Arabidopsis thaliana: one gene and its partners. The protein of the gene in region 3 interacts with the protein of the main gene of each other region in a pairwise test. Each region holds a gene or a part of one and is shown on either strand. Other genes may lie near its edges. The genes, in order: NRAMP2, AT5G25940, ENODL15 and AT1G80890.

Evidence for each region.
Region 1: the proteins of ENODL15 (region 3) and NRAMP2 interact in a protein complementation assay, tested with the Arabidopsis thaliana proteins (one large-scale study listed by BioGRID).
Region 2: the proteins of ENODL15 (region 3) and AT5G25940 interact in a protein complementation assay, tested with the Arabidopsis thaliana proteins (one large-scale study listed by BioGRID).
Region 4: the proteins of ENODL15 (region 3) and AT1G80890 interact in a protein complementation assay, tested with the Arabidopsis thaliana proteins (one large-scale study listed by BioGRID).

The regions. Positions count from the first base shown.
Region 1 is NC_003070.9:17,305,650-17,314,876, forward strand, and holds NRAMP2 (NRAMP metal ion transporter 2), read right to left. Parts: upstream 5,857-9,227; 5' UTR 5,660-5,856; coding exon 5,088-5,659; intron 4,718-5,087; coding exon 4,581-4,717; intron 4,493-4,580; coding exon 3,840-4,492; intron 3,625-3,839; coding exon 3,394-3,624; 3' UTR 3,154-3,393; downstream 1-3,153. Other genes in the region: CYCA3;4 (CYCLIN A3;4), read left to right, coding at 1,103-1,423, 1,696-1,928, 2,023-2,178, 2,279-2,312, 2,403-2,552, 2,635-2,769, 2,855-2,938. UniProt on the Arabidopsis thaliana protein: Seems to be involved in iron uptake.
Region 2 is NC_003076.8:9,050,738-9,058,708, reverse strand, and holds AT5G25940 (early nodulin-like protein), read left to right. Parts: upstream 1-3,453; 5' UTR 3,454-3,557; coding exon 3,558-3,663; intron 3,664-3,747; coding exon 3,748-3,809; intron 3,810-4,066; coding exon 4,067-4,142; exon of another isoform or gene 4,143-4,353; coding exon 4,354-4,457; 3' UTR 4,458-4,587; downstream 4,588-7,971. Other genes in the region: AT5G25950 (AslB, putative (DUF239)), read left to right, coding at 83-229, 397-780; AT5G25930 (kinase family with leucine-rich repeat domain-containing protein), read right to left, coding at 4,731-5,149, 5,231-7,829.
Region 3 is NC_003075.7:15,397,719-15,405,110, reverse strand, and holds ENODL15 (early nodulin-like protein 15), read right to left. Parts: upstream 3,472-7,392; 5' UTR 3,314-3,471; coding exon 3,130-3,313; intron 3,035-3,129; coding exon 2,685-3,034; 3' UTR 2,482-2,684; downstream 1-2,481. Other genes in the region: PGR3 (proton gradient regulation 3), read right to left, coding at 1-2,091; AT4G31830 (uncharacterized protein), read left to right, coding at 4,006-4,308. UniProt on the Arabidopsis thaliana protein: May act as a carbohydrate transporter. Required, together with ENODL11, ENODL12, ENODL13, ENODL14 and ENODL15, for male-female communication and pollen tube reception and burst at the synergid cell surface of the female gametophyte.
Region 4 is NC_003070.9:30,393,874-30,401,445, reverse strand, and holds AT1G80890 (GAG1At protein), read right to left. Parts: upstream 4,319-7,572; 5' UTR 4,236-4,318; coding exon 4,085-4,235; exon of another isoform or gene 3,663-4,084; coding exon 3,571-3,662; 3' UTR 3,236-3,570; downstream 1-3,235. Other genes in the region: AT1G80910 (vacuolar fusion CCZ1-like protein (DUF1712)), read right to left, coding at 122-303; MGT1 (magnesium transporter 1), read left to right, coding at 1,576-2,166, 2,237-2,698, 2,793-2,840, 2,927-3,157; AT1G80880 (Tetratricopeptide repeat (TPR)-like superfamily protein), read left to right, coding at 4,525-5,117, 5,223-6,252; AT1G80870 (Protein kinase superfamily protein), read right to left, coding at 7,235-7,572.

The DNA of each region.
Region 1 (9,227 bases), on a different chromosome or scaffold from region 3:
CAAGTGAACCCTTATTGGAAAGATTATTTGGTAGAATTGGTCTGGTCATTTCCAACATACGTTTATTAGATAATAACAGATAGGCGGATCATATAAGATAGAGTTGTCAAATCGGGGTGTCCATGTCCATTAGCCCAATCCAATAATGTCTATTTTGATATTGGACGAACATAGTCCGTATCCATTAACACCTTTGTCCAATCCAATAATGTCCATTTTAATATTCGATTTTTCCTCAAATCGATTTAACCTAACATTATAAGACTATTGGGCCGCCCATGTCCATCATATCTACTCTGCTAAAGTTCATATCCGTTAACGACTATAACCATTAAAGCCCGTTTTATAATGGCTTTATCCATGACTCGGTCCATTAAGTATTGGACGCAGGCAGCCCACGGGCCGCACACCCATTTTGACAACTCTAATATAAGATAAGTGTCCGTTGGTGTCAATTATTTTTGTTAAATTAATAGCTGAATTTGTCGAAAAAATTATATAGGAAATGGTGTTAAATGAATTCCTAGTTCAATGATTTTTTTTTATTATTGTTTAGACAAAATATTTTCATATGGTTTAGTGGATTTATTTTTCTGTATCCAAAAAAAAATCAAAAATGTAAAACTAAACCCAAAAAAAGTATAAAAAAAAAACAAATGCAAAACCGATTTTTTTTTAAATTTTTTAAAAGCATCTCACTTAATTCCGAATCTTAACCAAAACCGAAAAAAAAACAAATCAACTACTAATAATTTCCTTAATTAAAAGCATTCATTGATTGTTATTTTCATCTTTAATTAAGTGAATAAAACAATAATGATTGTCTAAATATAGGAGTGAAACTTTTTGAAGGGTAAAAAGGAGAAAACAGCCGCCAAATAAATGTGGAAATGAAATCTGCAAAAAAGCCCCAAATTTTGGATACTCAAAAGTCAAATCCCTAAAAATTTCGAAATCGGAAAATTTACACAGAGAAGCGCCATGACCTAAAAATCTCAAAACTTCCCCAACAAAAATGGCGCTTTTACTCAACCCATTTCCTTTTACCTACCTTGTACATTACCCCTTTTCTCAAATCTCACTTTCCCACTGAAATAACCCCATGGCGGAGAATCAGAACTGTGCGAGGATGACGAGAGCGGCGGCGAAACGAAAAGCGTCGTCCATGGCGTTAGACGAAAACCCAGTTAGTAAGAAGAGAGTTGTTCTCGGAGAGCTTCCGAATATGTCCAATGTCGTTGCTGTACCCAATCAAGAAAGAGAGACCCTTAAGGCTAAAACAAGTGTTAATACCTCGAAGAGGCAGATGAAGAAGGCTTTGATGATTCCTGAAGCTAGCGTACTAATCGAATCGAGATCTGTTGATCCTCAGATGTGTGAGCCTTTTGCTAGTGATATTTGTGCTTATCTCCGTGAAATGGAGGTAAAAAAAAAATCATCTTTAGTAGATTTCTTGATTCCATCATTTTTGATCTTAGTGATCTTATGGTATCAGTTTATGTTATTTTGGAATTGGTACAGTGTTGGACTTGATATTGATTAATGGGTTTGGTTAAAGTTGTGGATTTGATAAGTTTCTGAGATTTTGTCCAATCACAGCTTGCTCTTATGGTTATATGATATGTTTGGAGAAATTAGAGATGATTGATACTTTGGGACTAATGGTTATTGTTTTTGGATTGGTAAAATTTTCAGGGGAAGCCGAAACATAGACCACTACCTGATTATATTGAAAAGGTTCAGAGTGATTTAACTCCACACATGAGAGCGGTTTTGGTGGATTGGTTAGTGGAGGTTGCTGAGGAGTACAAGCTTGTTTCGGATACGCTTTATCTCACTATCTCCTATGTTGATAGATTCTTGTCTGTGAAGCCTATTAACAGGCAGAAGCTTCAGCTTGTGGGAGTTTCTGCAATGCTTATTGCGTCGTAAGCATCTTAATCCTCTTTGTTTATTGTTGTGTTGGTGTGAAGAGTCTTAGATGGTTGGCTTATGGAATCTTTATTTTTGCTTTTAAAAAAGTAGGAAATATGAAGAGATAGGTCCTCCTAAAGTTGAAGATTTTTGTTACATTACGGATAATACATTTACTAAACAAGAAGTGGTGTCGATGGAGGCGGATATACTTCTTGCTCTGCAGTTTGAATTAGGAAGCCCAACCATCAAAACATTCCTAAGGTTCGACTCTGAAACAGTCTGGTGTTTAAACTTATGATTTCATGGTTTTACTTGCCCTTGTTTTGATTGTTATTCTCTTTTTTATGTCGTGTTTGTGCAGACGGTTTACACGGGTTGCACAAGAAGATTTCAAAGTAAGCTCAAAATCGATGTACCTGTAAACTGTGGCATTTGCATCTCATAATTTCTATTGTTAAATCTTCTTTTTTTTCATGCCTTTGCAGGACTCACAATTGCAGATAGAGTTCCTTTGTTGCTATCTATCAGAATTGAGTATGTTAGATTACACCTGTGTGAAGTATTTGCCATCTCTTTTGTCTGCTTCAGCTGTATTTCTTGCCCGGTTCATCATCCGTCCAAAACAACATCCTTGGGTAAGCAAATTAAGAACCATGACAGGTTCTTATACAGAAAAAGTTCTTTATATTCTAAATCCTCTTCTGGTGATGCAAACAGAATCAAATGCTAGAAGAATACACAAAGTACAAAGCAGCTGATCTACAAGTGTGCGTGGGTATCATACATGACTTGTATCTAAGCAGAAGAGGAAACACTCTAGAAGCTGTTAGAAATAAGTACAAGCAACACAAGGTAAATTCAACAATTCAATGATGTAACTTTAAACTTGTGATATATTGCAACAAGAACATTCTAATATCTGATTCTCTTGGTACAGTACAAGTGCGTTGCGACCATGCCTGTTTCACCGGAGCTACCTCTTGCTTTCTTTGAAGATATTACCATTAGAGGAATGGCGTAAAAGAAGCTTGAAGCTTATGTATTGGAAGTGTTAGTTACCTGAATTTTGGGTTGTATATATCTGTTAGAATGGCAGATTAGTATTGAGTATTATCTCTTTTAGCGTATGTTCAATGATTTTTGCTAACACTAGTTAAGAAACTTTTTTTTTTTTGCTTGACCATTTTTTCAATGGTTTATTAGATTTTTATTGATTTGTTTTCTGCTTTTTTCTATGATGTAAAAGCCTCTTTAAATCATATTGGAATGTGCACATCCTCTTAACAAAAACAAAAAAGTACAACAAAGACTTTGCCACTACATATTTGTGATGTTAACATTCACAAAAAGCTAAGCTAACTCTTATCACCACTTTGGCGTTTCAATATGTATAAGACTATAGTGGATGAAGTTTGTTTACTGTATCTTCTTGACATGTAACAAATGGTCTTGAGGGCAGTTATTTTTGTGCAGCTACTAGCTATTGGAGACGGACACTCTTTTGGGAAGTTCTATGGAAGAGGATGACCAAGGAGAAGGAAAAAAGTTGCTGTGTGAAATGAGGTACACTATAAAGGCGATATAAGCAGTCGTCCAGACGCAGACCGTAACTCCAAACAGAAACCCGTCGACTTCTGATACAAAGAAATCCAACAGAAGATACCCATTGATGATCATTACAAGTGCAGCCACAGTCCAAGCTATTCTCTGCAATGTAATCAATAAATCCAATCAACTTACAAATACTCACTCTTCATGCTTCTCTATTCCATTGAAGGACTTTCAATTCTACATGTTTACTAAGATAATTGCACAAACAGTGAAACTAAAAAAGTCGAGACACCTAAAACGATAAGACTCAACACTAATTCACCTATTGTGGTATCCTATGGAGACTTGTAGTAAAAGAAGTGGAAATTTACCTGGAGAATAGGCCCAATCTTGAAGTCTCCCATAATTTCTTCTTTGGATACCAAGGTTAGAAGAGGGAGAAGAGCAAAAGGAATTTGTACAGACTGAAGGACATTGAGCCATTCATTCAAAACATCCAAGGAAGCTTCAGAAGTATTGAACACGATTGCCACAATCATTGTAGGCACAATAGCACAGCTTCTTGTTATTACTGCCCTCATCCATTTCTTAAGCCGGAGATTCAGAAAACCGCCCATTATAAACTGTCCAGCATATGTACCAGTTATCGTACTGCTTTGTCCGGCTGCTAACAACCCGATACCCCAGATATAAAGAATCGGAAGAAGCCCGCCTCCAAACTTTTCTTGAAGATACTGACCAGCATTAACTAGGCCAATGTTATTAGCTTTCTCAGTTCCATAAAACCCCTTTGCAAAGACAGTAGTCACAAACAAGTTAATCATGAAGGAGATGAAAAGTGCGACGGATGACTCGATCAAATAGTAATTAAGCGCTTCTTGAACCCGGGATTTCCTCTTCGGATCGATTTTCCTCGATTGTACAAGAGCCGAATGCAAAAACACATTGTGAGGCATTATAACACAGCCAACAACACCTACAGCTTGCCTAATTGTCTTTGAGCTAAGTCTCGGTAGTAAAATACCTATCCATAAACACAAAGATTTGATTTTTAAGCACTCAAATCAAAGCAAATAAAGTGAAATTCAAGAGTAAAAATCTGAAATCTTTACCTATCATAAGTTCTTTCCCACTCGGTTTTGTTTCACCAAACATCCAAGCAAAGGACAAACCCATAGTTGCGATCAAAACTGCAAAAACAGCTTCTAACTTCCTCACACCGTAATTCTCTAGAAACAAAAATAAAAAACTGTTTGCAACAAATTCATTAGCCAAGTTTTCAAAATACAAAAAAGCAAGTTTCTTAATTTCAGATTCGATCACAAATCGTTAAACCAATTCTCTACTGATTTGTGAGTTTGGATCATCTTAGCAAAGTTTTACAAGAAAACAGCCAAAGTAAAAGCAAATTCTCAACTTCAGATTGAATCATGAATCTCTAAACCAAGTTTCTACTGATTTGTGAGTTCGAATGATCCATACTCAAACTCAATACCGCTAAGATGATCCGCAAAGTTTTAAAATTTCAGAATGAATCATAAGATTCTCCAAACCAAGTCTCTACTAATTCTACGAATCCAACATCTCTAAAGAACGAATAGAGTATCGAAAGGACTCACCAATCGGAAGCAGTAATAACAACACCAGCCCAAAGAGGCAAGAAGCCACGGCTAAGAATCTGAATAGCAATAGCACTACCAATAACCTCTTGAATATCAGCACCAATCAAAGCAAGTTCCGCCATAGACCAAAGCACATACCTAGCCCAAGTAGGATACTCATCACGACAAAGCTCAGCTAAATGACGACCAGTAGCTACACCGACTCTAGCTGACAACATCTGAATCAACAACCCCATAGCTGTTGCCCACATTAGTAGCCACAACAGAGAATAGCCAGCGATTGCACCAGCTTGTAGATCTCCTTCTAGATTCCCTGGATCCAAAAACGCTATACTCATTAAGAAACCTGGACCGGTGAATAACCAGAGCTTCCGCCATGAGAATGGCGGTGGTGTGTCTCCGGTTGTTGGATCGTCGGGTGATTCGAAATCGACGATTAGGATCTTTTCGTTTGTTTCGAAAGCCGCTTCGGATTCGGAATCGGTGGATGGGAGAGATTGTGAAGGAGGAGGAGGAGGAAGAAGACGGTCTTCCTCTTCTTCGAGATTCTCTTTGACGTCGTTTTCCATGGAGGAAGAGGGAATATTCGGTGAGGGTTAAATCGGAATATTCTGTCGGTGGTGGTGGTGGTGTCGTCGACGTACCTGAATTTTGAATTGGAGGGATAAAAGAAGAAGAAGACGCAGGCACTTAATCAGATGCTTTTTAAAAAAGAGATTAATGCGTTTCTTTTTCGTAACTTTTTGGTACCAGATTCAACTTTATTATATTAATGCCTAAAAAAGAAGAAAAACTTTATGTTATAAATTTGCTTTGAAATTATGTATTTAGTGTAGTGTTGCCATAGTTGTATTGTCACAAATTTGAATAAAGCTTTGCTTTTTAATGACGTTAATTGAATACAAGGTAGTGAATAAAGTGTGTGTTTTATACATTTTTAGATCCATTGCTTGATCTATCTCTTCCTCTCTTTTATAGATCACAATGTGTGAAACTAAATATCCCACACCAAAAGTTTATTGAGTTTCCAATATAAGATTCATGATTAGTTTTTTAGAGCTTCATGAATAGCATAGTTGATATGATTGTATTACTCACATTCCAAAAATTTATGAGCAGAAACTCAACCATTGATAAAATGTTTTTTTTTTTTTGATGCGATGCAAATTATGAAAATTTAACCTCCTCATCCGAAAGTCTTTTAACTAGAACTCAGTTTTAATCTCATCAGAAATTACTGGTTTACATTCAATAAGCTTACTAAATTTTTTTGCTGAATTTTCCAAAGTGAACAAATCATGAGGATTTTTAGTTAAGTGAATATTTAGTGACTATTTTTCTTTTTTTCTTTTTTTTTTGTATCATGAGGATATTTAGTGACTAGTATTTTTGTCAATCCCTTCATGTGTGTTTTCATCACTCATTATTTAAATCATAAAAACATGTTATTCGTTTTTTTTGTGTGTTTCAACTTTCAAGCATGAACATAATTAGTATTTCTACTGTACCTTCTTTTACCATATTTCAATGAGTATCTACATAAAATAGCCATGGATTCAAAAAAAATTAAGAGAATAGCCATGAGCTACAGGGGTAAGTCGGAAACACATGTAATTTTACATGTATAACCTTAGACATCAAAGCGACAAGACACTGTTTGGGGAGCGTATGATTCTGGGTTTGAAATTTGAATTCTATTGCATTATTCGGCCCAAGTTTGTCTCACGACCAAAGTAATAACCCTAAAATTAAAAAAAAAAAAAAAAAAAAAAATTTTTCTCACCGAAAAAACCTCTCTCGGCGGCGATTAATTTCATCGTCGTTGCTCTCATCTTTTCGATCCAAGTAGTAGTTGTTTCTAGAAATTGATTGTGTTTCCGATTATCCTTTTCAAATCGTCTTCTCGTTGCAGTCGCCGGTGACAATCGAAGGATTAATTTTTGGTCTTCCCTCGCCGACGATTTGGGTAAGTAGAACCACTGATTTCCGATTATTTACAGTTGCTCTTCTTATTTCTCTTCCCCTATACCTTTAATTGCATGTCAATCATCGCTTGTGTCTAGATCTAAAGTTCGGTTCGTTGTTAACTAACCCTAATTTTGTTTCGTGTACTGTTGATGAATGAAAGTTAGGCGACCATCGAGAGTTTGCGGCTAAAGTCTCTGTTTTTTTTTTGGGAATCCTTCTGTGCTTTTTTGGAAAACACATGAGGTTTGTAAATATTGATGTGCTTTGTTTGAATAACCCACGAGGTTTGTAGATATTGCGTCCTTTATCTGTGTTTCTTACATGCAACTAACCCATTTTTTGTCTCTTACTATTCACGAAAGAAGATTAGGCGATATCGGAGGCTTTTGTGGCTGACGCTGTGGGTTTTGTTTGAAAAACACTTGAGGTTTGTAAATATTGTCTTTTGATCTGTTCTCTTTTATACTATACTAACCCAAATTTTGAACGTCTTACGTTCCATGACTGCAGATTCGGCGATATCGAGGATTTTGAACGTCTTACGTTCCATTCATTTTCGTTTATTTATCGCCGATCTTCTTCTATTTCTTCCCCTTTATACTTCAATTGCATAGAAAATAACGATTGTGGCCAGATCTAAAGTTCGGTTCTTTTTTCCCTCTATCTATATCTTCTTCTATTTCTTCCCATGTATACTTCCATAAGTATCTTGCATAGGGTTCTTACCTGTTGTGTCCAGATCTAAGTTTTGATTCTTTTTTATTTATTCTCTACTAACCCTCAATTTTTTCTTAATCTCTCTACATGAAGTTAGATAAGGCGAGATCTGGGAATTTCCTCAAACTCTTTGGATTCTGCTTCGTCCGTCTAGGGTTTTTGTTTAAAAACAAGAGGTTTGTTCATATTTTGCATGTTATTTATAGTTGGTTCATGTATTTTATATAGATAACATGTTATGTCTACTCTATAATGTGTTCTTGTATAATGATGCTTGTTATTTTGACTAATTGGTTTCTCTCTATAATATGTTTTCATTTTAAATTTCATGCTTTTATACCTTTTGGTCTGCCATTAAGTACTCTGTTATTTCATTTGTTTGCATTTGTTTTATAGTTTTTTGTATGTGTTTTATATAGCTGCTAATCTTTTTTTCCTTCTTTTGCCGTTTGCGAGAGAAGTTTTAATTCGTTCTCCTCCTATCCAATCTGGTATTCGCCAATGAATCTGGTAAGTTCAGTCCTGGGTTTCCGATTATTTATCTGTGTCTTCTTCTATTTCTTCCCATGTATACTTACATAAGTATCCTACATAGAGTTCTTACCGATTGTGTCCAGATCTAAGTTTTGGTTCTTTTTTATTTAGTCTCTACTAACCCTCAATTTTTTCTTAATCTCTCTACATGAAGTTAGATAAGGCGAGATCTGGAAATTTCCTCAAATTTTGTGGATTCTTTTTCGTCCGTTTAGGGGTTAAAAAAAGAAGAAGAGGTTTGTTCATATTATGCATGTTATTTATAGCTGGTTCATGTATTTTATATAGATAACATGCTATGTTTATTCTATAAGGTGTTTTTCTATAATGATGCTTGTTATTTATAGTCATTGATTTATCTGTATACTATGTTTTCATTTTAGATTTTATACTTTTATACCTTTAAAAAGGGATCGAGATGTGTTTGAGTTGATTTTCGGATCCAGTGATATAACTACACAAATACATATTTATATACATGCATATATATATATATATATAATTAAAACTGGATTTTTCTCAAAATTTTTTATAAAATTGGTTGCTTGGGTTCCCTATTTATTATCTTAGGGTTTAGTATTATGTAATTGAAAACAATTTTAAATTGGTTGCTTGTGTTCCCTATTCTCATATTGACAGTAATCCCTATCTAGTTTCCTCTTAAATTCATGTTTTTCTTTCAAATTTCAGTGTTTTCTATCCGTTGTATGTTTTGGATTTTTCTCAAAAAAAATCTATAAAATTGGTTGCTTGCGTTCCCTATATATTATCTTAGGGTTTAGTATTATGTAATTGAAAACAATTTTAAATTGGTTGCTTGGTTTCTCTATTTTCATATTGACAATAATCCCTATCGAGTTTCTTCTTAAATTCATGTTTTTTTTTTCAAATTTCCAGAGGTGAACTACTTTCTATAGA
Region 2 (7,971 bases), on a different chromosome or scaffold from region 3:
ACTTTTATATAACTACCAACTTTGAAATATCTCAATCACTTACGTGAGTTTATATAACTACGCTTTCTATTTGGATTTTCAGACAGATGGATACACTAAAACAGGGTGCATCAATCTCTTATGCGCGGGTTTTGTGCAAACAAGTAAAAAATTTGCCCTTGGTGCAACCGTTGAACCTGTTTCGAGTTCCTCTAGTACGCAATATCACATCACCGTTAGCATATTCCTTGTAAGATTTTCTAGTTTATATATGATCAACATTCTACACAATTTTACAAAATTATAAAATTGTCCCTTTTGGTTAATGCCCCAAAAACCGGTGTTAAATTTTTTTGAATATGTTTTGGAACGGGCTTGTATTGTCCTTTAATGCTTTATGATCGATTGTATTTGTAGGATCCAAACAGTGGGAACTGGTGGTTGACTTGCGAAAACAACGTGTTGGGTTATTGGCCGGGTACACTATTCAACTACCTAAAACACAGCGCCACAGCTGTGCAGTGGGGTGGAGAAGTACATAGCCCTAACGTAGTATTGAAGAAGCCACACACGACAACCGCAATGGGGAGTGGACAATGGGCATCTTACATCTGGGCCGAAGCTTGTTTCCACACAAACCTTAGGATCAAGGACTATTCCATGCAGCTCAAATACCCCCAGTTTCTATCCGAGTATGCTGATGAGTACAACTGTTATTCTACACTGCTCCACCGGAAAACATATATGTCAGAGCCCCACTTTTACTTCGGAGGACCTGGCCGGAACTCTCGTTGTCCTTAATCTCATGTTGATTTTGTCAATGTTCATTCTCCTGTTTTTTTGTTAGTTTTATCTTCGGAGGACCTGGCCGGAATTTTGTTTGTCTTCTAATTTAAACTAATCAGAGAAGATCTTATATTGATCATAATCTTTTAATTTTTTTCATTACTAACAAAGCCTAAGAAAGTGGAAAACACAATAGGGAGGGTAAAAGAAACTGAGCCAAATCAAAAGGAAGTCTCTAAACTGCTAATCACAAATTGCATCGAGTCTTGATGCCGCGGTGGAAAGTTTCAACCTCTACATGTAGAACAAAGAGACATGTTGAAAAATAAAATGTGATAAAATAATTTTTCCGTGTATACATAAAAAATAAAATAAACTAGTTTCAACCTCTATATAAGTATATATTACCGTCGACATCAATAGTAATAAAAAATACTCAAATGAATAAAAACAATTCTGTGGATAATAAGTTCCACCAAAAGGAAGGATCAACCATAAGTTCATGACTTTTGGGATTATCTTTGGTAGTTAATCTTAGTTTCATAGCACAAAGAATGAGCCAAATGTACGTTAAATATGCATATTTTTATTAATTTGTATATATAGTTTTGTGTATGTTTCTTATCAACTTAAAAAAGAGGAAAAGTAAAATCATATATATATATATATATATATATTATATAATTGAATTATACTATAAGGAGAAGGCAAATTTTAATTGTGTCTAAGTTACTATATATATATATATAATTATGTACATATAATTAATTTTGTATTAAATTAAATATTTGCTACCCTTTATGGAGCTTATATACCAAATTTTGTATTAAATAAAAAATAAATAAATAGTCTTTAACCTTTATAAGGTACTGAAAACCTTTAATTCGTATAAATTAATATATATGTTTTGTTTCACAATAACTAAAAAAATAAGTAAAAGTAGAAACAACAGATATGTAAGCTCTATAAGTAGTAGGAAAAATGTAATTAAGGATCCAAAATAATAATATTTATATTTTATTTGCAACCGAAAATTTTATAGACAACTCGCATTGAAAATGTTCTCAACTTGTTTTTATAGGAGGCAATACTTCTTGCGGTAGGGTTCAATTATATTGGTGCTCAATCAGGGAATTGTCCGATGCCATTTTCCAGTGGAATTTGATAGAAAATTTAAAATTAAGCATCAAAAAGTTGTCTGATGGCATTCATCGGAGTTGTCTTGAATCACCATTTTTCCGTTTCATCTCCTAACGTCTGTTTTTCACTTAAAAAGTCTCCAATTCCAGTATAACTTCGTAAAACTTGTACAAAACAACCGAAAAATACATTAAAAACGAACAAAAATGTGACAAACAACTCAAAACAAACACTAGACAAAGGACATAAGACACTAAAAACACAATATACCACATACAATTTTGGAGACACCCGCACACCGCTCTTCACCTCTTGGACTGTCAGTAACATTATGACATGACTATAGACATTACATTCACTTTCATGAAATTTACAACTACTCTTTGGATTTGGGTTGCAGAAAGATGCATACAGTAAAACAGCTCCATCAACCTCTTATGCTCATGTTTCATGCACATAAGTACTCAATTAGCCATAGGTGGAAGCTTAGACCCTGTTTCGACTTTCGAGTAGCTCGGATATATATGCATTATATCACATATCCCTTAGCACCATATTTTCTAATTTAATTTACAATATCACTCATTGCCACAAGTGTATAAAAACCATAGCAATAGAAGGGTATCAAAGTTCAAGTAACCAATTAAATTAGAACACTAGAAATACATTCTATCATCCAATCTAAGCAATCAAGTTAAATCATTAGAACAATATTGAACTACCGCCGAAGTAAGATCTCGTCTACCGGAGATATTGTCAGATTCTTGCCTCCGTTTTGTATTTGTTGTTTTGATTTGTAAAACTTTGGCTCAAGTCCAATTCAGGTATTATAATATTTTTAAAAAAAGAATATTGAACTATTAATAAAATCTTAACATTTTCTGTTGGTCCCTAGTACTTTTGATGGGCTCTCTATATCTTCGCTTTTGTATGTTTGAAGCATTAAGGCCGAATTCATTTAAAACTCAACTTCTATACCAAAAATTTTATTTTAAATTTTATGTAATTAAAATAAACTAACCAATTTTTTAAAAATTACTATTTTAATCACATATAAAATTAAGTTTTAATTTATCTTTCTATACAAAAATATCATCATTAATGAAATTAACTAATTTATTATATTTTTTTAATCATTTTTTCACTTATAAATTTTATCTAAAACTGAATCGATTAATTTCTTATATCTCTAAAGATATCCGTATGGTAACAAAATTGACTCCAAACATTTCTTAAGTCGATTTCTAAAACCGCTCCAAAAGACCATTGTGCATTAAAAATACTAAAAATCTAAAATTTAAAATATTCTCAATAACAAACATTTACGAACCACTGAATTTTATTTTATTTTAAAAATAATCTATAACATAATAATTGTTTTATCTGTTTTCTAACACAAATTATTCTAAATACATGATTGAAATACATTTCTAAATTGGCGTTTTATAGACTATAGTATTTTGACAACTTTGTTTTCAATATTGGCGTTTCATTATTTTGGTGAAAGATTCCCAACTTATAAAAAAAAAAAACGAATTTTTAATTTTCGTCCTAATCATTTATTTCCTAACCAAAGAAAAAGGCAAATCGCGACCCGTCTCTCTCTCTCTCTCTCTCCTTGAAATCGAAAGATCAAAAAAGCGACACTGAAAATGGAAAATCGGTCAGAAATGGGTAACCGGAGGCAGCAGAATCTCTTCGTCATAGCTTCTCCCGACGAGATTGCTAAGATCCATCGAGCCGAAACTTCCAAACAAGGTCTCTTCTTCTTTCTCCGTCTCTCTCTCTCTTTTTTCCCCTAAAAAAAATCTTTTAAATTGATGACTTTGGATTATGTTACAGCCGGAGCTATTGCCGGAGCTAAGGCCGCCGCCGTTGCCGCCGTCGCCAGTGCGATTCCCACAGTAATCATATAATCTCACTTATCTAAATTTTTTAAATTGAGATCTTAAATGAATTAAATGTAAGAGTTATGTTTCTTTGTTGTTGAATTTTAAGACAAAAGTGACTCACCAATCTCATGTTCTGTAATAATCAAGAGTTTCAATTTTGTTACCTATTCATTTTGTGATTTCTGAATACACCAAGTAGAGTCACATTCTTTTTGATGTGTATATAAGATATGAATTTGGTACATAAGCATGCCTTGTTTTCGTAACAGGTAGCTGCCGTTCGTATGTTCCCGTGGGCTAAGGCAAACCTCAACTACACTGCTCAAGCACTCATTATTTCTTCAGGTTAGCTCTATCAGCAATATGCCTTAAATCATTACTATATGTTCTTCCTGGAACTAAGTAGAAAAAAGATACTAGCTTTAACATTGTTGTAGAAACCTCGAACTTCCCTTTTGAACCTAGTTGAGTTTGGGGTTTTTAAGTATTCGTACATTCATTTCTCCACAATTTTCTTCTGATTTCTATCTTGTGATTATGGTGATCATTGGAACAGCTTCTATCGCTGCGTTCTTCATAACCGCGGATAAAACGATTCTACAAGGCGCAAGAAGAAACACCGAGGCTCAGTTAAAGAAAGTTCAGCAAGACTCTAAATAATTTCTCTTCTTATTGTAACACAAATCAATCATCATCTTTCTCTGTTTTGTATGCATATTTTGCCTTGATTCTTAATAAGAGTGTTATTATTATAAGGAATAACAAATTCTTTAAGACCATTTTTTATTCAGACTTTCAGATTTTGTTCTCAAATAAGTTACAAGCTGGTAGTTATACTCTTAACTAAAACTTTGCTTACACAAAAACTAAATGGTTTCTAATACATTTGTACATTTCACAAAAAAAACAACATCAAGTGTTGTGATTATTTGATTATACAAAACCTAAATCTTCATCTTCTACCCTTTTACTTGTCCTTCGACCCGATAAACTAACTAGTAGAGGTGCCTCATATGCCTCTGTTGCAGTCTTCTTCGTCGCCTCAAGTCCTTGTTGGCGCAGAACATACAAGACCTCTTTCATGGAAGGTCTATGACTAGGCAATGTGTTAGTACACATGAGACCTAGCTTGAAAACTGTTGTCATCGCCTCAGTCGTGGAAGCTTCTTTGATGTCCTCATCAAACGCCTCTGCGGTCGGTTTTCCAGATTGGTAATGTTTCCATGACCAATCTGCTAAGTTTGTGTGTTCATCTCCGTTGTTTCCTTCTCTTCCAGTCACCAGCTCTAGCAAAACTACCCCGAAGCTGTACACATCGATCTTCTCATCTACCTTTGACGTATATGCGTATTCTGCAACATAAAAATATTAGAGATCACACAATGAGCGACTCTATTCGACTCTAAAGAATGTTTTTTGTTTACGGGTATTACCTGGAGCAATGTAACCAAAGGATCCAGCAACAGCTGACATGGTATGAGGTTCTTGGTTTTGCTTAATCAACAGTTTAGCCAACCCGAAATCTGCAATCTTCGCGTTGAATTCAGAATCAAGCAAGATGTTACTCGACTTGACATCTCTATGTATGATTGCGGGAGTACAATCATGATGCATATAGCAAAGTCCTTGAGCTGCTCCAACTGCGATATTCAACCTCTGTGACCATGTAAGGTTATTAGCCTCTACGGTACCTCCCTTCTTCTTTCCATGTAACCATTGATCAAGACTGCGTTTCTCGAGATACTCATACACTAGAAGCTTTGAATCTTCCCTTGAGATACAACACAATAGTTTCACTATATTCGAGTGCCTGATCGTTCCAAGAATCTCAACTTCAGCAATAAACTCCTTCTCAAGTTTCTGGTCCAGTTTCTTGCTGTCCCATATCCTCTTCACTGCCACACATTGTCCCGAGCTTTCGACGAAAATCTTGTAAACTTTGCCCGATCCGCCACTACCGATCACGTAGTGTTCCATCAGATTCGACACGATGTCGGATTCCGCAAAATCTACTCTATGAAATGAAGTGAGTTTCCACGTCTCTAGACCTCTTCTTCTTTGTTTCCTTGTGTAGTCCCTAACCACAAAGAACGTAACAAACAGAGTAATGGTGAGAAGCAGAACCGCGATGACTAGAATCATCGCGAGGATTTTCCCGGGGAACCCTCTTGATCCCCGGCGCTGTTTCCGACAATCCGGTAAGCTGAGAACCGGGTTGTCTGCACAAAGATTAGAGTTGTTCAAGAAACTTCTCTCGTAAGCAAGATTATCAAGTTGCTCTGGTATTCCTCCAGTGAGTCTATTTGATGACACATTAAATGTTGTCAGCTTCAGGCTCCCAATCTCCGGTGGGATTCCACCGGAGAATTGATTCTCCGATAGATCAAGATTGAGCAGACGTGGCAACAATCCTAAAGCTCTCGGAATTTCCCCGGAAAGCTTGTTCTTGGATAAACTTAACGTTATCAACGACTTCCATGAGATGATCTCATCCGGTAATTCACCGGTGAGATCATTCTCATCGAGAAAGATCGATATGAGATTCGAAAGAGAAGTCAATTCCTTCGGAAACTCACCAGAAAACTGATTGTTTCCCGCCTTAAACTCAACTAAGGAAGACCAAGTACCGATTTTCTTCGGAATCTCACCGGAAAATCGATTGTTATCAATCTCGATCCTCGACATATTCCAAGCAACATTCTCCGGTAACTCTCCGGTGAATGAGTTGTTACTCACCTGTAGACTATACATACTTGAAGCATTCCAGATCCGAGAAGGAAACTTGCCGGAGAAGTCATTGTTCTGTAACTGAACAGTCAAGAGCGTTCCACAATCTCCGAGCGACTCAGGGATTTCTCCGGTAAGATTGTTTGAGTACACAACCACTCCTTGAAGTTTACCACCTTTGCACAAATTTTCCGGTAACTTTCCGGTTAACTGATTCTCCGAAACTTCGAATCTCTCCAGCTTTGAATGAACTCCAATCTCTGCAGGTATTTCTCCGGTTAACTTGTTGTTGAAGATTTTAAACTCCTTCAATCCCGGTAGTTTTCCGATAACCGGTGGAATTTCTCCGGTTAACTTGTTGTTGAAGAGGTTTAACACTTGTAATTTCGTTAGATTTCCGATTGATACCGGAATCGAACCGGTTAAATTATTAGCAGAGAGATCAAGAAATACCAAGTTCGTCGCCGAAATTGATTTGGGGATTTCTCCGGTTAAGCCATTAGCGAAGAGATAAAACTCGGTGAGATTCTTCAACCCGAATAAAACATCTGGGATCCGACCCGTTAAGTTATTGACCGATAAGTCAACGTGCTCAAGATCCGTCATGTTTTCGAAAACAACGGGTGAGATTTCTCCGATCAAATTCATCTCCTCTAACCACATATACTTGAGTTTCTTCAACTTCCCAAACTCTATCGGAATCTTAGCCGGAGTAAACTTATCGTTTAACGCTAGTCGAAGTTCTTCAAGCTCCGATAAGTCTCCGATCTCCGATGGAAACGTACCGTCGTATTCGCTCTGGTACAGATTCAATACCTTGAGCTTCGAGATCCGTCCGAGACTTTTAGGGATATCGCCGGAGAATCCGTTAGCAGCTAAGTCGAGATAGTCGAGTTCCGGTGAGAGACGGTCGATGTCGACGGGAAGTGAGCCGTTGAGAAGGTTCTGAGAGAGATCGAGATATTGAAGCTTCGTGCAATTGTAAAGAACCGTCGGAAACTCGCCGGCGAAGTAATTAAACGATAAGTCAAGGAAATTGAGATTCGACAAATCGCATATCGTCGTTGGAACTGTCCCAGTGAAGTTCTGGTTCTTGAAATTGATCCCGGTGACATTTCCGGCGGTGCAAGTGATCTCCGACCAGTTGCACGGTGAAGATGTGTTGTTCCACAGCCGGAGAGACGGTGGATCTCCGAGATCGCGTTTCAGGTTCAGAAGCGTTGACTGGTCGTTGAACTGCGAAAAGACAGATAAGGGTATTGACGTGAGGAAGAAGAAAAGGAAAGGTAAGGGTAAACGAGTCATTCTCTAATTTTTGTTTGTTGAGGTTTTGCCGGGAAATTTCTTCGGCAACCGAGTTTGACTGTGAATGTGAAATGGATACAAACTTTGAAGAAGTTTTCAAGTTTTTTTCAAGTCTTTATAGAGAAGAGTAGGTGAAGTCATC
Region 3 (7,392 bases):
GTAAGCATCTTCGATTAAACTGGCCTTGACAACACCTGGGAGAAGAGTGCAGAGTGTAACAAAATCAGGGTAAACCAGTTTCTTCATCTGGTGGAAGAAACACATTGCCTCTTTGACTTGACCATTCTTCACCAAACCAAAGATAATCGTATTGTAAGTAAAAACATCTGGGACACAACCCATGTCCATCATCTTGAACAACATCTTCAAGGCTAGAGTCACCTCGTCATTTTTGCAAAGGCAATCAAAGAGAGTGTTGAAAGTAATTGTGTTAGGTGGACAACCTTTCTGCACCATCCCCTCGAACAACTCAATGGCCTCTTGAATTTTTCCATTTTTGCCTAGACCTGCGAGCAATGTGTTGTAAGTCACAACTGTAGGCTTCAGCTTCATTTCCTTCATTCTCATAAACATCTTCCACGCCTCATCTACTCTATCAGCTTTGTAAAGTGTATTGATCAAAGAATTAACAACAATAACATCAGGTTCACAACCATTCTCCATCATCTCAGAAAGCAGCTTGATGGCTTCATCTATCTCCCCAACCTTACTGTAGCACTTCATCATCATGTTATAAGTTACTGAATCAGGGACCAGTCCTATGTCTTTCAAGCCATAGAAGATTTGTTTCGCTTCTCGGTCCCTTCCCGCTTTAGCTAGACTGTAGAGAGACGCATTACAGGCTACAATGTTCGGAGCTATTCCTTTGGTTTTCATCTTCTCAAAAGTCTCAAGAGCACTGACGGAATCTCCAGACTTTCCATAGTAATCAATGAAAACTATGTACGTATAGGCAGTGGGCTTCACGCCCAGAGACTCCATATTACCAAACAGTTCAAGTGCATCATCCAACCGGTGGACTCTTAGAAGACCGCAAATCAATGTGTTATATGTATGAAGGTTCGGTAAGATACCTTGGTCCCTCATCACATCCAATGTATCAAATGCTTCACCAAAATTCCCAGCTTTGCACAGAGCATCCACGAGAATGGTAAAGGTTACAACATCAGGTACATGACCATCCTTCTCCATTTCACTCCAAAACTGCTTCACTGAATCCAGATCTCTGTTATCACTAAACCTGTCCAGCAAAGTAATGTAAGTTACACGATCTGGTTTGTGTCTTCCTGTTTTCATCTTTTCGAAAACCTCCTTCGCACAATCGAGCTTCCTAGCAGTACACAGAGCATCAATAAGAACAGTGTAAGTAACTACATCAGGTCCACATCCTTCATCATCCATCCGCTTCAGTATTTCATATGCTTCATTAATCTTCCCTGCCCTACCAAGCACCCGAATACATATCGTAAAGGTGTAAACATTCGGCTTTAACCCCAAAGTCTCCATCTCTTTAAGTAAACCCATCACAGAATCAATATCCCTTCTTTTCCCCAAACCTACCATAAGTGAAGAGTAAGTCTGCAAACTAGGTCTAAAACCTTCCAAGATCATTCTTCTATAAACCTCCATTGCCTCTGTGCAAAACCTAGACTTAAGCAGAAGATGAATCAACCCATTGTATGAATATGCATTCAACACAAAACCAAATTCTCTCATCTTCCGAAGTGCATAAGGTGCTTGCTTCAATCCACCTTTCACAGAAAGACTCTTGAAGATAGTCAAGTAAGTATTAGTATCCCTCTTTATGATTCTTTTCTGCATCAAATCAAACACATAAGCCATTTCCTCAAGTTTACCATCAACCCTCAAAGCTTCAAGCATGTAGTTACAAGTCTCAGTAGTGTGAACTAAATTCAAATTCCCAGCCACTGATTTGAAATACGAAAATGAAGAATCAGTATCAGGAAACGACTTTAAACCCCTCGTTACTTCTTCACTCGATGACAAATCAGGTTTTGAGCTCTTTCTTATCATAGAACCCGAAAAGTCAGAACTTTTCATGGAGACTACACTACATCTCATACTCTTCCTTCTCCAGTGTTTCTTCCGAGACCCAATCTTCAAAGCGTGGAACTTTAATCCTCCAGTAACCAAATTATCGCGACATTTTGCTTTGATGTTACTAACAAGACAAGCATCACCAACTGATATATCACCACACAAACTCGCAGAGCAGAGTAACGCGACCATTCTAGAGATAAGCCAAGCAAGCAAAACAATTCAATTCTCCGGCAAAAATTGAAACGAAAACAGAGATTAACGATGATGATTCATCACATTTCAAGTGGCGCAGATATAACTAACAAAACACAAACACGTGCTGAATAGCTATGAGCATTTTGATTCGTCTCCGTTCACCGGCTGAAAAGAGCGCGAGGGAGTCGATTTCGGTGAACCGGAGATTTTTGATGAAAGAATTTTCGAAGCAGAATAATAAAAAACTTGCCGAGAGGATAAAATCAGACTCGCTCCACTCGATCCTTACCGTTTTGCTTCCCTCCCAAAATATCTTTAGGCCCAATTCAGGCCCATTTTTAGGCCTCTTTTCACGACAGTCCAGGTTTCTTTGTGTTGCTGTAAATTACCTTTTTGGGTACTAAATTCAAAATTCTCATTCACTTTTGTTTTGTTTTCTTTGTTGATTGTTGATAGATCCAACTAATTTATCCAGAATTGAAAAAGAGGAAGAACAATTTAGATTAAAATAAATTTAATGTAGTAAATAACAAAGATTTCTACTTTATATTCCAAAATTAATAAATAGAATTAAGACTAATTGTCTTTTAAAAGAAGAAGGCCCATAATCCAAGAACAAGCCCAAATACGACACTAAATCCGCCGGCGAGCTTAGCGGCACCACTAGTAGGAGCTACGGCTGGACCGTCGAACTCAGATGGCGAAGGACCTGGAGAGAAAGCAGAGTTACGAGGAGTGATGACGACTAGGCGTAGCTTCTGACCCTTTTGACAATGACCCTCTGTTCCACTGACGAAGTAGACCGGACCAGCTTGGTCAAGCTTCACCTTTGTGTTCCCGTCGGTGTAGCTGGCTTTAGGGCTAGTGGTGTTGCATTTCTCGTATGCTTCTCGTGTCACTTGCAAAACCGAGTCTTTACCGGCTTCGTACTTGAATACTGTAATAAACATGTGACGATGTCAGAAACAGAGTATATTGAAGATCACACAAAATGTCTAATTGAAAAAAAAAAGTTGAAAATTATGGATTTACCGATAAAGTCGCCGACTTTGAAGCGAGCCTTTTGAGCCCATTCGTTAAAGGAGAAAGAAGAGGAAGGAGGGATCTTCCAGTCACCGGATTTTCCACCGACGGTAACCTCATTTGCATTCACGGACGAAAAGAAGAAGACAGAGATGCAGAGGAAGATGGTGACCAAAAGAGAAGAAGAAGCCATTGATTAGAATCTAAAACCTTAAAAGTATTAGAGTGTGTAATGTGTTTTAAAGTGTGTTGAGGATGGAGAGAGTGTGGATCTTGTGTGGTTTATATAAAGGTAGAGGACTTGGAAACTAGCCGTTTAGGAATTACGAAAAATTAAAAGGAAAAAATGGTAAATGTTAATGTATCCGTTGGAGAGATGATAAAGGCAACGTAACGGTTAGGATTGAGCGACAAAACTTGAACTCTGATAGAGAAAGTGATTTCACGGTCTTCTAGGAAGACTGGTCAAGCTAAGCTGTTTCTGTTTTTTGTTTTTGTACTTTACTTTTTGTTTGCTAGTGGGAACTGGGTTTATTGGGCCTTGAAGTTGATAAAAGATGAATAAAAGACATATCGCCTAAAGCCCATATGAGAAGCAGAAGACAAAAACCTCCAACTTTGGGCATAAATTTTGATTATAGTTAAAAGTCCAGACCCAATTTGGCACCTGGCTTAGTTACGATTCTAAGGCATGACACCTGCCTAATATGTTTATTACAGAAAATAAAGAGAATCAGCTAGGTGTCCCTTATTGAACACATTAACAAACTCCAACGACACTACGTGTCTTCGTGACTCTTACTATATCCAAAAACCTATAGCTAAAGCTGAATTTTCCATGATTAGTATAGTCCCAACCAAAAAAATACTGAAGAAGGCATAAGCATGGCCGGAGAAGAAGACTGGAGAAAAACAGCAGATACGACGAAGATGAGCTCGGAGGGAGTAAAAGCTGCCGGCGTTGAGTCATCAAAGAGGCCGCCAGGAAGTAATCCAGGTGGTGTTCTTCATCAACGCCGTAACTTGCCATACAGTTACACGACGATGGCTCTAGCCGGATTAGCTATCTCGGGGGCCATCATGTACACTGTTATGTATGCTAAGAAGAAGCCGGAAGCCACTGCCACTGATGTAGCTAAGGCTGCCACAGGGACGGCTAAACCTGAAGATACACATCCAAGAAAGTAAAATTTCAAGGGAAGAATTAAAGGGTTTATCTTCTTCTTCTTTTTTTGCTTTTGTAATTTTGTTCTTGCTTCATGCTCTTGTTGGAACTTCTTATTTACTTGTAATAAAATAACATAACGTGTCCAAGAATGGCTTATGTCAACTACTAGAGCAAGCAGAAGAATAAAATGGGAGGAATAGAGTAGTCTTGTGTAGCAAATGCATGCGTATAATTTAGATCACCGAATCCTCTACATTTCTCTGTGTTATGTCGCTTAAAAGTAGGGCCATTATTGTGGGCTTCTTTTGCGTATTAATATTTTTGGGCCATATCCTAAAAGATGTGTAGAGCATCATCATGCATGGCATTCAAAGACTACAAATCCGGTTTTGCAGTCTTTTGATATGACTTTGATTACGTTTTTATATTTCCAGTCTTAATGAAAAATAGAAAATTCCAATTGTTTATGGAATTTATTCAGTTTGGTTTTGATTTAGTTTTAGGGTAAATTCTCTAACAAGAAAACTCAATTTGAAAATTTCGAACGGTGTGATTATTTTGAATCGGCAATGTGGTCTTGATTACTTACTGTCAAGTGCCAAATAAAAGTTTAAGGAAAGAAATAGTAATTTTTTAGTCAACTACAAAATAATAGCAAGTTGATTCTATGAGACAATTGGTGATTCGCATGTCTTTAAAAAACGTTGATTGGCATAAAATAAGATCGTAACGTTATAAATATGAAAAAATTAGGTGAGTCCACTTAATGGCCCAGAAAAGTAAGTGTATTGACATAGGCTGTTAGGTAGAAACACTCATGTGTTGCTTTATGAGCATAAAACCTGGACGACAAACTTTTTTTTCTCTCCTCACCAACTGCACACATTTTATTTATAAATCAACATTTTCGTCTTTAAATTAGGCTGATCATCGTTTACTTTCTAATCAATTCTGATAAAACATTCAAAGTACTACTACTAAAAGCTTCAGTTCAAGTATCCACTACTTAGAAACATATCTAACGGCTCGTCCATAAGCCATAACTCATGACTAACAATTAAATATCTAAAATCTTCACTTTCCAATTTTTCAATAACAAAAAGATAGAAATTCAATGACTTAAATGAGATTTTGCATAAGTTTGGTATGTAACGTCATTAGAATCAACTCTCTCACTCGTAAATATTAATTAGAGCTACAAATTTAATAGATACGTACATTATATATATACATTGTTTTGTGCAAAATAAAACAAATGGCCACGTTATTTTTTACTTGGATAATAGGGTTTGTGTACTTATTCCTCAAACCCATATGATAACATTTCGTCATTTGGCAAATACAGCTTACTATTACGAAACTCACACCACTATTACAAAACATCCAATTGAGTCTTCTCCATATTGGTGGAGTCTTCTATCATTTTATTTCATGATGTTCAAGAAGAAAACAATAAGATAAAGATAGACCTGAAAACGACCAAAGTTATTCTGCGGAAACTATTTGTACATTCCAAATAATTCAAGTAAGTTTTACACAAATAAAACTAAGGGTAAAAACTAATTTTCGTCTACTTATAAAAAGGTAAAAGAAGTTAAAAAAAAAAGAGTAGGAAATTATAAAGAAATTTATGAAGAAAGGAGAAAAGGAAGAGAAGAAGCACAAGGTTGCAATTATGGAGGTTTGGACCCATAGTCAGTGTTCACCATCATTTGTTTATGATGCCTTATGCTCACGCCTGTCTATAATTATCTTTCTATTATTTTTCAACATTAAACCTTTACTATTAGTCGTTTGACGTTAAACATTCATATCTCAACGATCAAACAATAAAAAGCATTCTCATCTCAGAACCGAAATTTGGTTTCGATTGGATTGACTATATTCTCCACGGTTCGATTAAATGTGAGGTTTCCGGATTGTCGTCTTAAATTATTCACTAAGAGTAATCGTTTGTGTTATAGGTATATGCCATGCTTTTTATGTTCTCTATGACATAAAAATACAAACGCAATACTATATTGACTACAGTATATTCCATCAATTCTCTGTTTAGGGTACATATTCATTTGATACCATTTGCAGTCTTCCAGTCAATTTATTTTTGTCATTTGATGTATTATTTATTGGGAAAAATGTTGAAAAATGCGCCAACTTTCAAATTTGGGACGAAAAAAGCATGAACTTTCGAAATGTCATTTAAATCTCAAAGTTTGAGTTGGCTTATTAAAAAATGTCTAAGTTTCGTTGACGTGGTCATTTAAGGCATGCCGTGAAATTTGCGTTAACAGAAAATTAACGGAGTCAACTTTCCGTTAACAGTTCAAAACGACGTCGTTTTAAAAATTAAAAATAAGAAGAAAATCGGACACAACCTAGTGTCAAACCGACGATTCCCTGCAGCTGTAATTAAGCCTTCAACCATGGAGCTACTGTAAACCACGGAGCTACTGTAAACCATGGAGCTACTGTAAACTTGTAACAACATTGATTGAGCTTATATATATGTAACTAGTTGAAACTAATAGAACTCCATTGTTGCCTGAGAAGAAAACAGCGTGAGCAGGTGGCGTGGAATCACGTCAAATATGAGCGTGAGGTTGAGATCGTGTGGCTCGTCTATGTCCAATGATGGTTTGTTTGGGGAGAGTACCGTTCTCGGATTTATACAATTGGAGATCCGTTTAATGTTGTCGATTTCAAGTATTGTGAACTCTTGATTACATCTGATTCAGAGTTATTTTCTGGACTTGTTCACGCTGTTTATTACGCAGGCAATAATGGAGCTTTTAGGTTTGTGTTTTTCAATTAATTACATGTACGAATATATATATCTATTAGCTTAAGTAAACACCAAAAGCGTGAGTAGCTCAACGGTTTAATGCTTGACTACAGATCCAGTGATCTAAGGTTCTAGCTCAACGGAAATTTCACGGCACGCTTTAAAATGCAAGGTCAACAAAACTTAGACATTTTTTTAAGAAGTCAACCCAAACTTTAAGATTTAAATGACATTTCGAAAATTCATGCTTTTTTCGTCCCAAATTTGAAAATTAGCGCATTTTTTGACATTTTTCCTATTATTTATTTTCAACCATTTAAGC
Region 4 (7,572 bases), on a different chromosome or scaffold from region 3:
GAACACCCAACAATACAGGAAAAGCTAATAACGCTCAAAATTTATGTGAACATGAGACAACATCAATCAATCCATGAACTCGAAAAATCTGTGTAAAGAAGGAAAATCTCTAGTAGCTAACCTCGTGAACGTGATAAGCCCTTCACTGAGACCTATAACCGATAGCTGAGTGGAGAAGGTTAGATCAGGAGGATAGAAGAACAAGATCTTGTCCAGTTCCTGTCCTTCGTGTTGGCCTCTTCTTAAGTCAAACACGCAAAGACGAAGGCTTTCAGTACCAGAGCTCATGGACGCCATTCCCATAGCTTCTAAGAGCTCATTAAACACCTTAAAAAGCACACAGAAATGTGTATCGGAAATCAGGCAATAATACAAACTCCGTATCTAAAATTCATAACTTTAAGGCACATCAAATCACCAGAGAACCCTACAATTTACGATTTTGGAGGTTCAGGTAATTGCAAGTTAATCAATTTCGTTAAGAAAATTGCGTAATCCATATAAATTGATTACCTTTGAGGATGAACCCTAAGAACAAAGTCAAAGGAGTGATCGGCCTTCAATTCACAAAGTTGATTTCTGATGATTGTGGACTCAGATCTACCAGAAAATTTTAGAAGCAAAACTTGGTGGTGAGAGGAAACCAGGTAAACGGGTCACCGGGTTAGGATCTAAAATGGACTCGGGTCGTAGAGGATCTTCAGATTCTCATCGGCTTACGTCATCCATTGTCTTCTCCAATGATCCCTTATTTTTACTTTTTCTAATCGCACGTTGTTGTCACCTATACTCGAATAATTTTTGATTTCGTCTCCTCAATCTATGAATAATTCCTAAACCGGTTATAACATTTCAGATTTCACATATCATTCTCTCATTTAGTCGTCACGCTTGGATCAAATAATTGAATACTAATTGAATTGATGCATTAAATTATTGAACAAACATTAATGAAATAGATAGCTAGAGCATTTTATAATGAAAGTTGCGTTAAACCGGTAAATTTGAGTCTCAACCAATATAAATTAGTTAAGAATCGGTTTGCATTACTCACTACATGTAATTTGATTTCGTCTACAAAGTACCAAAACGCAAAAAAGGTTCTAACTTTTGCTTCTTCTTCGCATTCACTCAAACCAAACTAGAAGACGGAATCCGGCCAAGTCACTTCCGCAATCCTTTCGAATTTAGATTTTAGGGTTACTTTGTCGGAGATTGTTAATTTGGAGGTGTGAATTGAAATTTTCTCTACAATTTCCGACCTTTTTGGTATATATTGTCTCTGTTTTATTGTTTTGGGACGATCCATCTGATTTTGTGGGATATGACCGATGAAACACTCTATAGTATTCTGATCTTTTCCTTGTGATGTATGCTTTCTTAAGCTTCCATTTTTTATCAGAGAGATTAGTCTGTATTTATTACTTCGCTTCTGGTATTTGAAAGACGATCCTGCTTGGAGAAATTTCTATTCTTGACTTTTTATTTATTTTATCAAATAGACCTTGAAGAGATTCTTTTTATATTTCATTCCTTATACTTACCTGGTTTTGTAGTATCTGGAGATTGGCAACAATGTCTGAACTCAAAGAGCGTTTGCTTCCTCCAAGACCTGCTTCGGCTATTAACCTTAGAGGTGATGCAGGCTCTCGTCCTTCTCCTTCAGGGAGACAACCACTCCTTGGAGTTGATGTTTTGGGTCTCAAGAAGCGTGGACAAGGCCTTAAGTCGTGGATTCGTGTTGATACTTCTGCCAATTCTCAGGTCATTGAGGTTGATAAGTTCACTATGATGCGTAGATGTGATTTACCAGCACGGGATTTAAGGCTGCTTGATCCTTTGTTTGTGTATCCGTCAACTATTCTTGGTAGAGAGAAGGCTATTGTTGTTAACTTAGAGCAGATCCGTTGTATTATTACTGCGGATGAGGTTTTGCTCTTGAATTCCCTTGACAACTATGTGCTTCGCTATGTTGTTGAGCTGCAGCAGAGACTAAAGGCAAGTTCTGTTACTGAGGTTTGGAATCAGGACAGTCTCGAATTGAGCAGGAGGAGGAGTAGGAGTTTAGACAATGTGCTTCAGAACTCATCCCCTGATTATTTACCTTTCGAGTTCAGGGCTCTTGAAGTTGCACTTGAAGCTGCTTGTACCTTCCTTGATTCCCAGGTCAGTGATTGATTCACAACTTATTGTTATTTAGTATGCTCAGCATTGAGAATAGATTTTCCCTTTGTAGGCTTCAGAGTTAGAGATTGAGGCATACCCATTATTGGATGAGCTTACCTCAAAGATCAGTACTCTAAACTTGGAGCGTGCTCGTAGACTAAAGAGCAGACTTGTAGCATTGACGAGACGAGTTCAGAAGGTTCGGGATGAGATTGAACAGCTAATGGACGATGATGGGGATATGGCAGAAATGTATCTAACAGAGAAGAAGAAGAGAATGGAAGGATCTTTATATGGTGATCAATCTTTACCTGTTTATCGAACAAATGATTGTTTTTCTCTGTCTGCGCCAGTTTCTCCTGTTTCTTCTCCTCCTGAGTCCCGTAGACTTGAGAAAAGCTTGAGCATTGTAAGGAGCCGGCATGACAGTGCTAGGAGCTCAGAAGACGCAACCGAGAATATAGAGGAGCTAGAGATGTTGCTGGAAGCATACTTTGTTGTCATTGACAGCACTCTCAACAAGCTAACCTCGGTAACTAAAAACCTCGCCTTTGTGATCATTCATCATCTTGTTTTAACAGCTTTTAAAAGCGGTTTAATCACCTGCAACTCTCTTTACTCTTCAGTTAAAGGAGTACATCGATGATACCGAAGATTTCATCAACATTCAATTGGTATACCTTGAAATCTTGATCTTTTTTAGATATCTTATTTGCTTAGAAAACCTTAAGAATCTGCTGAAAATTTCTGGAATTTGCAGGATAACGTACGGAATCAGCTGATCCAATTCGAGCTGCTGCTAACTACTGCCACATTCGTTGTAGCCATCTTCGGGGTTGTAGCCGGGATCTTTGGGATGAATTTTGAGATAGACTTCTTTGAAAAGCCTGGTGCTTTCAAATGGGTTTTAGCCATTACTGGAGTGTGTGGCCTTGTTGTATTTTTGGCATTCCTCTGGTACTACAAACGTAGAAGACTCATGCCTCTGTGAAGACATAACTACCCTGACACGTAGACGATTGTTTTACTGTTTATGTTGCTTAAATCTATACATTAATCGCCTGTGACCTTTACAAGATAAAACCCCGTGTATTTTTTTTTTGGGTTACTGAAAGATTATTAAGCAAACCATACCAGACTCATCTTGATCTTTCACTTTATGGATTGTCCTAGTCGAAACTCACAGCTCACACAACAGTATCGTAAAGGATGAATCCTTTAACTTATCGCAAATTTACATATCTTCGATAAAGAAACCTAAGTGTAGAGTGTAAAGATACATATCTGAACTGAACCACACTCTAGAACAGACATGGCTGAGTTTATAGACATGGAAACGATGATGTATGGATCCATTCACAAAATGTAGTTGACTAGAGTCTCCATCCAAGTGGGGGGAGATGACTACTTATCCGAGGATGAAGATGATGAGAGACGAGCTTTTCGAGCTTTATCAGCTTTTTCCAAGTAATCTTGGTGAGAACGATGCTTTGATCCTGAAACAAACCAGATTTACCAAACAACAAAAGCCAATAAGAGAAACAATTAGCCTATATAATGAACAAAACAAGGAGAATATTACCAAATGTCACATATAGCAAATAAGATATTTAACCATTGAGATTATGCAATTGAATCGATGTGTGATCATCAGGGGAAAAAGCAAACAAACTTGGTAAAAAATGTGATCATGCAAGTCTATTATGATCCAAACAGAATAAACATTGTGACTCATCATTATCATATAATCAAACTCTATTTGATCGACCACTTGATTGCATTTGCCAAGAAATATAAAGTTAGAAACTTTAGATTCTAAATCTTTCAGCTATTGATATCATCATCCTCTTCCATTTCGGAATCTACAGAGAAACATCTATTTATATATTTCAATCTAAATCGCCCAGAGAAAACGAACCTTGATTCATTAGATACCAAGGGATTCCGAAGATGATGGAGATAATCCCGATCCCAGCCAAAACGTGCTTCTTCTCCCCACTGTAGACATAGTGCTCCATCTTTGCCCTAATTCCTCCTCCTCCCAAATTGCTCTTGCTCTCATTTCCCATCTCGATCTCCACAGGTTTTGCTTCTTCTTCTTCTTCTTCTTCTTCTTCTTCTTCTTCTTCTTCTTCTTCTAGGGTTTATCAGGAATTAGATCCCTCTCTCTCTCGGATCTTTTAAAGAAATCTAAAATGGGCCCTATTTAGGCCCATTCATATTAGTGTTACTTTGTTTATTACCATATTAGACCCCATATTATCTATATATTCGTTTTTGACCCCATTAACTTCATATCCTCATCCCATTAAGACCATGTTTGAAATGTATTAATTTAAGCCTTCTCACTCACTCGCTATGGCCGCGATCGTTGCCATTGGTAGGAAACTCGCGCGAACGCCACAATGGCGGATTGTTCAGCATCAATCTCTGCTACGTCGTGCAGTGTCGACGTCGTTTTCGAGCTCAGTTTCCCAAAATCATTCCTTCTCTTCAGCATTTCATCGAGCAGGTCATGTGCATTCTCAAGTTTTAAGCTATCTCCCACATTTTGCCTCTTCTAATCGCTTCTCCACCAAAACCATCTCCGAAACATTTGATATCAACTTAACAGCATTGGCTCCGTTAGAAAAGGGTCTGATTGATTTAATCAGACAGGTCTCTGAGCTGGAGTCAGAGGCGGATGCCATGGCTTCTCTGGAGGACTCATCATTTGATCTAAATCATGATTCTTTCTACTCCTTAATCTGGGAATTAAGAGATGAATGGAGGCTTGCCTTTCTAGCATTCAAATGGGGAGAGAAACGCGGCTGTGATGATCAGAAATCTTGTGATTTGATGATCTGGGTGTTGGGTAATCATCAAAAGTTCAACATTGCTTGGTGTTTGATCCGTGATATGTTTAATGTTTCAAAGGATACTAGAAAGGCCATGTTTCTCATGATGGACAGGTTCGGTTTCGTCTTCTTGATAAAAGTTTCTCTTTTGTTGTGCTAAATTGAAAGATTTACTAGCTAGGTATTGAATTGGTTGTCTTGGTGACGGTGTTGATGTAGATATGCTGCTGCTAATGATACTAGCCAAGCTATTCGGACATTTGATATTATGGATAAGTTTAAACACACTCCTTATGATGAAGCATTTCAAGGATTGCTATGTGCATTGTGTAGACATGGCCACATTGAAAAAGCTGAAGAGTTCATGCTTGCAAGCAAAAAGCTCTTTCCGGTGGATGTTGAGGGATTCAACGTAATTCTTAATGGTTGGTGTAACATTTGGACTGATGTGACTGAAGCAAAGAGGATTTGGCGAGAGATGGGGAATTACTGTATCACGCCTAACAAGGACTCTTACAGTCACATGATCTCTTGCTTCTCTAAAGTTGGGAACCTTTTTGATTCTCTCAGGCTATACGATGAAATGAAGAAACGGGGATTGGCTCCAGGGATTGAAGTTTACAATTCCTTGGTTTATGTGTTGACCCGTGAGGATTGCTTTGATGAAGCTATGAAGCTTATGAAAAAGTTGAACGAGGAAGGATTAAAGCCAGATTCAGTGACCTACAACTCGATGATACGCCCCCTTTGTGAGGCTGGAAAGCTGGACGTAGCCAGGAATGTATTGGCAACCATGATTAGTGAGAACCTTAGTCCAACAGTTGATACATTTCATGCATTCCTTGAGGCTGTAAATTTCGAGAAAACTTTAGAGGTTTTAGGCCAAATGAAGATCTCTGATTTAGGTCCTACAGAAGAGACCTTTCTTCTTATTCTTGGAAAATTGTTCAAGGGAAAGCAACCAGAAAATGCTTTGAAGATCTGGGCAGAAATGGATCGTTTTGAGATAGTGGCTAATCCTGCTCTTTACTTGGCTACAATACAGGGCCTTTTGTCATGTGGGTGGCTTGAAAAGGCCAGAGAGATCTATTCAGAGATGAAATCAAAGGGGTTCGTAGGAAATCCTATGCTCCAGAAACTTCTTGAGGAGCAAAAGGTGAAGGGGGTCAGAAAAAGCAAGAGGATGAATCTTCAAAAAGTTGGTTCTCAGGAAGGCTACAAGGGTCAACGATCAGTAGACAGAAAATAATCAGATAGGGGTAAGACTTGAAGTTTCTCATCAAACGATCACTGAAATAATGACTCAATTCTCAAACCTCACGGTCTCCACTCTTTCACTACATCCGCCGTGCAGTTTTCCAGGTAATCTTTTCGTCAGTTTACTAGATTTGCTGATCGCTACCTTTGCATATTCCTAATATCAATGAATCTGCAAAACTAATCATTTGCAGCCATGCTGATTCAGGAATCTCTCTCCGGATTACATGATAGACGTTAAAAACTAGTGTGATTCTTGATTGTTACACGTCCACGCATCGCTGCACGTTCAAGTTACAAGAAGTTAAAGTTCAATGTGTTATGATATGAGCCAGACTGCAGAACAGGCAAAGGCTGAGCTCACTGTGTTTCCAAGGCAAGATCTTCAGAGCTCTCTCATAGTCTATTTGTGTCCTTTTCTGTATTCTTTTGTCCTTGGACTTCATTTTCTTATATAATATTTTTGTATTCTGTGACTCGTGAACCAATGATGAATGTTATGGCCTTGGATTCTTTTATGTGTTGCAATTTTTTCATGCCACATTTCAAGGAACCATCAGTTTACTCCATCAAGAGTATGGAAAACATCGAAAAACCTTTTAAATATTGATATATAAATTAGTATAAACTAAAAACTAAAAACGTTTTTCGATAAATGAAATAGGTGTTAAAATTCTAAATAAACATAATTGGACAATCAATTAGTTTACACATATTTAAAATTTAACACTTAAAAAACAAAAATATTAGGTATAGTTAAGAAAATAAGACAATTTATCTAAAATTATTTAATCAATCGAAAAAGTTTAAAGTTTAAATATTTATATATAAGATTTTAAATTATATATATAGTTTACAAAAATTACAACATAATACAATTCTCAAAAGCTAAAACTCTTTCAAGTTACATCCAACAATTTCGAAAATGAAAAGATCATATCAAACCTCGAACTACTACTCTGCATTGCCCTGTTTTAGCTTCTCCGCTTCGATCTACTGCCGTAAACTTTTCCCGGTGGCGATGGAGAAAACTCGAAAGCAGTGGAGGAAATGTCCATTTCCCCTCTCAAGATTCTCACAACTTCACTAACATCAGGCCGTAACTCTGGAGCTTTCTGCAGACAAGCCAAAGCCAAGTTAATGCACAATCCTGCTTCTTCCTTGTTATACCCATCCTTCAATTTCTCGTCGACCAGCTCAAGAACGTTCCCTGACTGAGCCAGTTGCCTACACCAGCTCACCAAATTTGCTTTTTCAAGCTTCATCGGCGATGCAAGGACGTGTAAAGGCCTCCTACCCGAGACTATCACTA